Ovis aries: one gene and its partner. The protein of the gene in region 2 purifies or fractionates together with the protein of the main gene of each other region. This does not show direct contact. Links are inferred from orthologs where the notes say so. Each region holds a gene or a part of one and is shown on either strand. Other genes may lie near its edges.

What was found.
Region 1: the proteins of CDK15 (region 2) and FKBP5 purify together in Homo sapiens (affinity purification with mass spectrometry; 3 studies listed by BioGRID and IntAct, counting the BioPlex papers as one, with this or other methods). This does not show direct contact. The link is inferred for Ovis aries from reciprocal best matches to the Homo sapiens genes CDK15 and FKBP5.

What each region holds. Positions count from the first base shown.
Region 1 is NC_056073.1:9,818,937-9,823,016, forward strand, and holds the start of FKBP5 (peptidyl-prolyl cis-trans isomerase FKBP5), read right to left. Parts: upstream 2,841-4,080; 5' UTR 2,731-2,840; intron 1-2,730. UniProt on the Homo sapiens protein: Immunophilin protein with PPIase and co-chaperone activities. Component of unligated steroid receptors heterocomplexes through interaction with heat-shock protein 90 (HSP90).
Region 2 is NC_056055.1:204,182,076-204,185,693, reverse strand, and holds part of CDK15 (cyclin-dependent kinase 15), read right to left. Parts: intron 2,869-3,618; coding exon 2,729-2,868; intron 1-2,728. UniProt on the Homo sapiens protein: Serine/threonine-protein kinase that acts like an antiapoptotic protein that counters TRAIL/TNFSF10-induced apoptosis by inducing phosphorylation of BIRC5 at 'Thr-34'.

The DNA of each region.
Region 1 (4,080 bases), on a different chromosome or scaffold from region 2:
CAAGTATTACTATCTAACAGTATCGTGTGATTTAGCCTCAAACGTAGCTTGTTTCACATGTGTCCCTGTTTTTCTGTAGCTTTGTTTAATCAAAAATATTTGCCCACCCCCAAATTCAAAAGGAGCCACACCTGAGGGTAAGTGACTTAAAAATACTCCCAACATTTATTACGTAGATGTAAGAATTCAACTTATATTTAATTTTGAAGCTATAATGTGGTTGACCATTTTACGATACGGTCTACCACAAGTTAAAAGTGGACAGAAATCAGTAATTGAAACATGTAAAAATTGAATTTGAAAACAGTATTTTAATTAAAAGGCACTTTTACAGTTAAAGTTCCCAAAACATGCTTTTGTAAATTAAACTATGAAATATAGCTTTAATTTATGGTATGTGATACATTTAAGCATCACAAGATAAAAACTATAAAACTTCTAATTATACACAATAGTTAGACTAATATACTCCTATACACTTAAAACAATTATATAGACCACCCATAACCCTAGTCTCATAAGATTCCTCAGAACTACTTATACAGAATAAAACTCACTCTGAACAAGTCACTGTTCAATCTACCTTCACTAAGCATCGAAAAGCCAACTCAGCTTTCAACAGTAATAATTTCTTCTACAACTATAGAAAGAGAATGTTCTTCCTTCTCTAGACTGATTGTTCTAAGCTAAGACTTTAGGAAACAAAACAACCGAAATATGTTCTTTTTCCAATGCAAGAATAAACAAAATTGAAGACTTCACTAGTTCCTAATCCAATATTTTAAAATGGTCATGTTTGAAAGACAAAGAACTCACAGCAGATAAGCCTGTTGTTTTCAAGAAAACAAAACAATTTTTATGAAAACTATCTTTGATTAAAAAAAAAAATCCCGAACAGTCACAACTAGCCTATCGGTTAGAGTGCACCTTTCAAAGGTGTTACTAATTAACATGTGACTAATAACCATTCAATGAAGCACTAATAAAGTAACATAATTAAATCAAAAGTGTAACTGTCCTTAAGAAGTTCCTTACATCTCTTATTCAAATCATATCCAGCACAGACATTTTAAAAAAAGACACATAAGAAGAAAAATCTGAGTTATCTAAACCTTCATAATATATTTTAGAATAATTATATATTATTTTTAAATTTTTTCTAAAATTGGTCAGGGCCATAACTGTAGATTTTAAGTGAGGTCAGCCGGGAGAGAGAGAGAAACAGAAAATAAGTGGAAGTATAACATAAAAACTTCCACAAGAATAAAAAGTTGTTCAACTCTACCCTCGAATTTTAAAATAAATACTCTTATGCGGGGCGGGGGGAGGGGGGAATGGGTGAAGGAGAATTCCCATAGACTATTAAAAATACTGAACCAAAATATGCCTCAACTTTTCCCTCGTCTATAATCTAACAAAACGAGAAGACAATGAAAATAAACACTCCTGTGTGCCCTCAGAGAGGCAAAGAAAGCTCCCATTCAAAGCTAAGCCGTATTCCACTCTTGTAAAGTAAATCCAAAACCACGAGCTCAAACTGCTTCATGCAGAATTTACTGAATGGCGGCCAAACGTTGTACACTCTGTCCTGAACCACAGCGAAGGATATCTCGAGCTCTGCATTCTCCATTTACAACTTGTACCTTACTATGCATGCTTTCACCACCACTGCAGAAACCGATTTTTAAACTAAGATGTTCCTCCCGGCCAAGTCAATGGAAAGAAGGCAATCTACCCGCTGGCGACACTCCCCACCTTCCCCACCCACCCCGCACCCCAAGCAATACTAGTTTTTGACTCCTATACTGCGGTCAGCACACCTTAAAAAAAAAAAAATCATTATGGGAGAAGGCGTTACAAAGCCCCCGGAGAACTGAATTACCGAACCCTGAAACAACTTTTCAGTGGCTCTCACCTGGCACTTGGGATAATCACCTGTTGGAACGGCGCTGCCCCGGTCCCCTCTTACCGGCAGTCGAGGGCGGGGAGGCCGTGTTCCCAGTCACTGGTCCCCCTCCCGGGGCGGCAGGTGAAAGACGGGGAACGCGTATATCCACACCCACCGCCCCGGGAGCGCAGACCGAAAGCCGGGGACCGCGGCTGCGGCGGGACGCTCCGTTATCCCTCCCCTCGGCGGGCCCGCCAGGTGAGCGAGGCTCCATCGCGGCCGCGATGCGTCCCGGCGCACGGCTCACCGCCGGCCCACTTCTCCCGCCGCCCGGGCCCGGGAGACCGAAGTTTCTCTCCCGCTCGCGGCGGCCGCGGCTCACGGGCCGCCTGGCTCTCGGGCGCCGGGCCGCGGGCGAGTCGGGGGCCGCCGAGACAGGAGCCGGAGCCGGGACCTGTTACCCAGGGCGGGAAACCAAAAAAAAAAAAAAAAGCCGAGTGAGGACCAGCGGGGCGCGACCGGCCTCGTCTTCCCAAGGGAGAGCGCGGCAGGGGCGGGGAGCCGCTCCCGCGGCCGCCCGGCTCCGCGCCTCCCGGAGGCGAAGGGAGCCCCGGCCCCGCTCGCCCGGCGGGGCGCAGAGGATTCCCGCGGGGGAGCCTGGGCGCCTCCAGCGCGCCCGCTCCGAGGCGTCTCGGCGCCGCCCGCCCCGCAGCGCGGTTCCCGGGCTGGGGCGCCGCGTGAGGAAGCGGCACAGCGGCGGCAGGACCGCGAAGGAGGGAACGCGGCTCCCGGGGCCGGGCGGCCACCCCGCCTCATCCCCCCCGTGGCCATGGCGCCGGTACCTGTCGCCGTGGCGGCTCGCCCGTTCTGTCGCTCTGCCTCAGCCGCGCGCCGCCAGCCCCTCAGCCCGCCCAGCAGGCCGCCAGCGCGCCGGACGCCGCCGCCGGAGACTGGCAGCGCCCGCGAAGCGGCCAGAGTCCCCCCGGGCAGCGCCCGGCGCAGTCCCGCCCCCGCGGGCCGCAGGACCCGCCTCCCATAGGGCCCCGGGGCTGTCAGTCCGCCCCAAAAGACGCGCGGGCTGTCGCTCCTCCTATCCCGATTGGCGGCCGAACGCCGTCCATGCAAATAAGGCCCCGCCCCCGGCCATTTGCACCTCCGCCTTGGTGTAACCTCCGCCTCCCCCACGCCAGCCCACGTGTCTGGCCCTTGCCCCTTTGTGGGCGCTGTAGGGAAGAGAGGGAGGAAACTGAACGACGCCCCCTCACTCCATCCCTTACCTCCGGGGAAACTAATGCCCAAGCAAGCTAGTGGACTTCACATTGGGACCTCTCTCTGACAGTTCTGCCCTCCTGTCCGCCCACCCGACCTGATTCGCGGAAGGAGAGGGGCAGGCCAGGCTTGTTTGCGTCAGGTAAGCAAGCTAGGTTAGCCCCGGGAAACAATACCAGGGGAACTGGTATTGTCCATTTGGAACTGGGGGGAAAAAATCCCATCTGGAGAAACCATAGCACGTAGCACTTGCCTCTGGACACTCAGGGACTGTTAAGACTAGGCTTTCCCTCCGTCTTCTACCTTTCAAACATGAGATCCCAGGTGACTGAGACAGCAGAGGATTTCTGTGTTTTCTTAAAAGATGTCTGTGTTCTCTGCCGCCTGCCAACGGGTAGGTCTGCTGAGCAGCTGGACTTCAGGAGGGGGCTCAGGGCCCCTGGAGTGTAATGGCCAAACCAAGATTGGGATGAAGGGGACTGAGCTAGCAGCTCCTGGGCCTTAGGGAGTGGCTCGCTCAATCTCATTCTTGAGGAAACAGGAACCTGAAGTCCCACAACTGTGGAGCTTAATAATCACCTATTGAAACCTAACATCTCCTAACTCCACATCTGGCCTCAACACTATATCACCTAGGGTCATTTAGGTATTTATGAAGAGTTTCTTCTGCAAATAACCATCCCTGCCTTCAAGAGGTGCCACCTGCAGAAACAACCACTAGAGCTGACGCTGAAACCTCCTCAGTGAGGGCAAAGGCCCTGCTTCAGGGCCTAGAAGCTTACCTTTTTACCAGATGCCAAAGAGTGTCACTGAAACAGTTTATTTGTGCATTAATTCTGCATACTAATGCCAATCGTTTAAGCATCTACTGTGATTTTAATGGGGCTTCTCAGGTGGCGTGCTAGTGGTAGAGAACCCACCTG
Region 2 (3,618 bases):
TGGAGCAGCCCGCCCCTGGGATGGGGACTCTGGGTCCCTGAGGGTTGGGAACTGAGAGGACCCGTTGGTGCACCCTATCTGCAAAGGAGGCCCTTAATAAAGGCTCATTGCCATGAACAATGAAAACATAGACTGGCACTGCCAGGCCAAGAGAGGGCACGCTTAGAAGACATGGTGACATCATGTCACACGTGGTGACAGCCACTGTTCTCAGGGTGCCCAAACTGGCCTCAGTGCTGCTCTCTCTTCCTCAATTTTTCTTTCCAGTTTCCCTGGTAGTTAGTTGTGCTTTCCCCATCTTCTTGTCCACGTCCTGTCTGTCAGTCTGTATCTAAACCTGTTTCTGCACACTGCCCTCCCCCAAGCGCGCGTGCACGCGTGCACACACACACACACACACACACACACACACAATCTGCCCCCCTTCCCCTGTCTCTTGGTGCTGGCCCTTTCATCTTCTCCCTTGGGGATTCGAGATGTCGCTGCAGGAAGTGCTTGTCGGCCGAGGCAGCAGCAGCAGAGCCCTGTGGCTTTGACAAACCTCATTTAATTGGGAGGAAGCCAGGAGAATTTGAAAGAACTGAAACATCCACGAAACTCCTTTTATCAGGCATAATTTAAACTCTGCATGGAAAAACCCCTATATGTATAAAGAAAAGTCAACTTCCCTCCTGCTGTGAGCACTCCTCATCTCCCCCCTCAGCGCAGGCAGGCTCCTGCAAGATTCCATCTTTTCATTTTTCTAAAAGTGTCAAAGTAGATTTGGGCTCTGTGGCTGGGTGAACAGAGGAGGAATACAGATGGGTCCCTCTCCTGTGCCCGCGTGTGTACGCACACACAGGCACACACACGTACAATGGAGCCCCTCTGTTGGCGACTTTGCTTCAGATGACCAGGAATAATCAAAACCCGAGTTTCTAACAAACACATCCCGTTTGCACAGCGATTGTTTCCTGCTAATTACTCTAAAGGAAAAGCTGGCACCCAGAAAACTCTGAAGGTCCTCAGTAGTTCTCAGGACCTAGAATAATAAATCCTGGAGGAGGGTTTATTTATATTTATTTCTTTATCTATGTCTCTCCATGGGAGATATGTTGTTAAGTGGAGAGAAAGGGTGTGAATGTGTGTGTGCGCACCCTCAGTGTGTATATTTGCGTGAAGTGGGAGTTAGAAAAGTCCCATTCTCAAGAGGAGAAGGCTAAGAAGGGGGAATCTTGGGGCTCAGACTGGGAAGAGGGTATTAAGATAGGAGTGGGGGATGGGGATTAAGCTTGGGAGGAGGTACCAAGAAGGGAGTAAGAATTGTTAAGTCGCCTGGAATGTCTCTTAGTCTACCCATATGCCAAACCGTGTCCCTCCCCTTCTTCCAAATTCCTGTCCGGAGTCACCTCCAGTCTCATCTGTCTCACTGGAGTTATTCTACAGCGGTTCCTCCGAGGACTGCCTTCAGTGCACACGTACTCTCTGAACATCTGTAGCTGATTATGCACAGACTTTAGCTGTTTAGATATGATTTGTGCTAATATGTGTACGAGGGTGTCCTGTTTCCTCTTCCTCACCCTCTTTTCCTCCCACTTCATATGCTCCTTGAGGTCAAGGACAAGCCTCCTTTTTCCCTCAAATGTTATAGCACTTAATATGTTCTTGACACTTAATGGCAACTTAATAAATACTGATGATCGACTCTTCTTACAGGGTTAAGTATGACATTAACCTTGGTTGTATGATTACGGTTATTTTTAGAGATTCTAAATGACTCACTTTAATAATAAAATACCTCGAGAAACCCCAAATTAAAAGATTTGGACGGATGCAAAATCACATCCCAGGTATGGAGCTGTGCCTGCAAATCCTGGAGACATCAGTCAGACCCCATATCTGAGCCTCTTGGACAGTAGTTCGTGACCACACCCCATCCCAGTTCCCTCCTCTCAGTCAGAGCCCCTACAACCTTCCTTAGCTTTCTTTTCTCTGGCTCAGGACTTCTAAAAACTGTTTTCACTTGAATGGTGGGTGTTTTGAAAGCAACCCCACCTAAGGAGGGTCCCAGGCAAACAGCCAGGGCCGTGGTTGCAGTACCCACAACCTCCGCACAGCCCTTCCTTGCCACATTCTGAGAAACATGAGGAGCGCTCCAGCCACATGATCCCTCAGCAGTTTTCAGATTTGGAGGATGACTTCAGGCCTGGGCAGCAAGGCTGATTTCTGAGTAACTTGTGCTTTCCGGGCGCATCTAGCCTGGGAGGATGCTCCCCTCTCACCATGCCCCACCCGCACTTCCTCGGGCAGCATCAGATTACCAATCAAGGCAGGCCCAGCTCTCCTCTCCTGTTGTATCCATGTCACCTATCATCTTACTCAACGGAAAGAGAAAAGGGGATTGTTAGAAACTTAGGTTTGGCTTCTCCTGGCAGATGCTAGGGAAAGCAAACTGAAAGGCAACTTTCATCTCTTCTACTTTCTAAGTGTGTGTATAGAGGAAATGTTTGGATGGTTACAAGGAGGCCTGTGTCACCTCAACCCTCAGCTTTTGAGTTTTAGAAAACCACAAACAAAACTTGGGCAAGATTTTGTCCCATCTTGCTTTTCCCAGCTCTAAGCATGTTTCTGGTTGCAAATTCTATGCTTCTCCAGTGCTTCAAGAAAACAGACACCAAGACTTATGTGTGTCCATGTATACCCCACCCCCAGCCACCACACACATACACACACACACTCATTCGCTCACCATCTGGAAGCTGGTGCAGCTGAGCTGGCAGGACACTGAAATAATTGTGGACCAACGCATCCTGGGCTGAGACACGGTCTCTCGGAAAGCCCTTCAGCATTTGGGAGGCCAGATCTTCTGCTTCAGGAGCCCTGCCCAGCCTGGAAAAGTGAGAGAGACAGAGAATTTCTCCAGAGGCCTCATTTCTGAAAAGTCAAGAGGGAAAGAAGAAAAGTAAAGAAAAGGAGATGGCTGGAAAAATTTCAGATAGAATTTTCCTGGGACTAGTAAAATTGATGGAAATGGAAAAATAACCCCCACACTGAAACTGTTACCTGTCCCGTGACTAAGATGAAGGGAAAACTTCAGCATTCCATCATTCAGCCCCCAGCCCACCCCTCCACCATGGCTCTGGGTACCCTGTATACATAAAAGACCTGGAAATTGTAATTATAGAAACGGAAATATATAATTAAGGATTCTTTCTTTGAGGGATACAGCAGCCCCTTGCAAGCAGAAAAGCCCAGTTGGAAATAGGCTCCAACGGTGGTGAGCACAGAATTCTGGAATGGGAAGAAGGAGAGAAGAGATCCTGGAAGGTGAAACTTGAGTGGGAAAAAAGCCTTGTTTACAGCATTTTTGAAGCTCAGCTCCCAGGGCTTTCTCTAAGATGCTCTATTGGTTTCCCTGGAGATAGAGCATAAGCAAGAAAGATAATTAAATACTCAAATTACAGTAAGGACAAATCCTCAAGTTGACCTTATGCTGAATTATAAATTTGGAGTAGAGCAAATCCATTAGTTGAGCAACTACTATGTAGGTGGTTAGATCTGGGAGATACAGGAATGCTATCTTCTGGCAGCTTAATCTAGTAGAGGAATCAGACACTAATTAAATGGTCATACAGATGC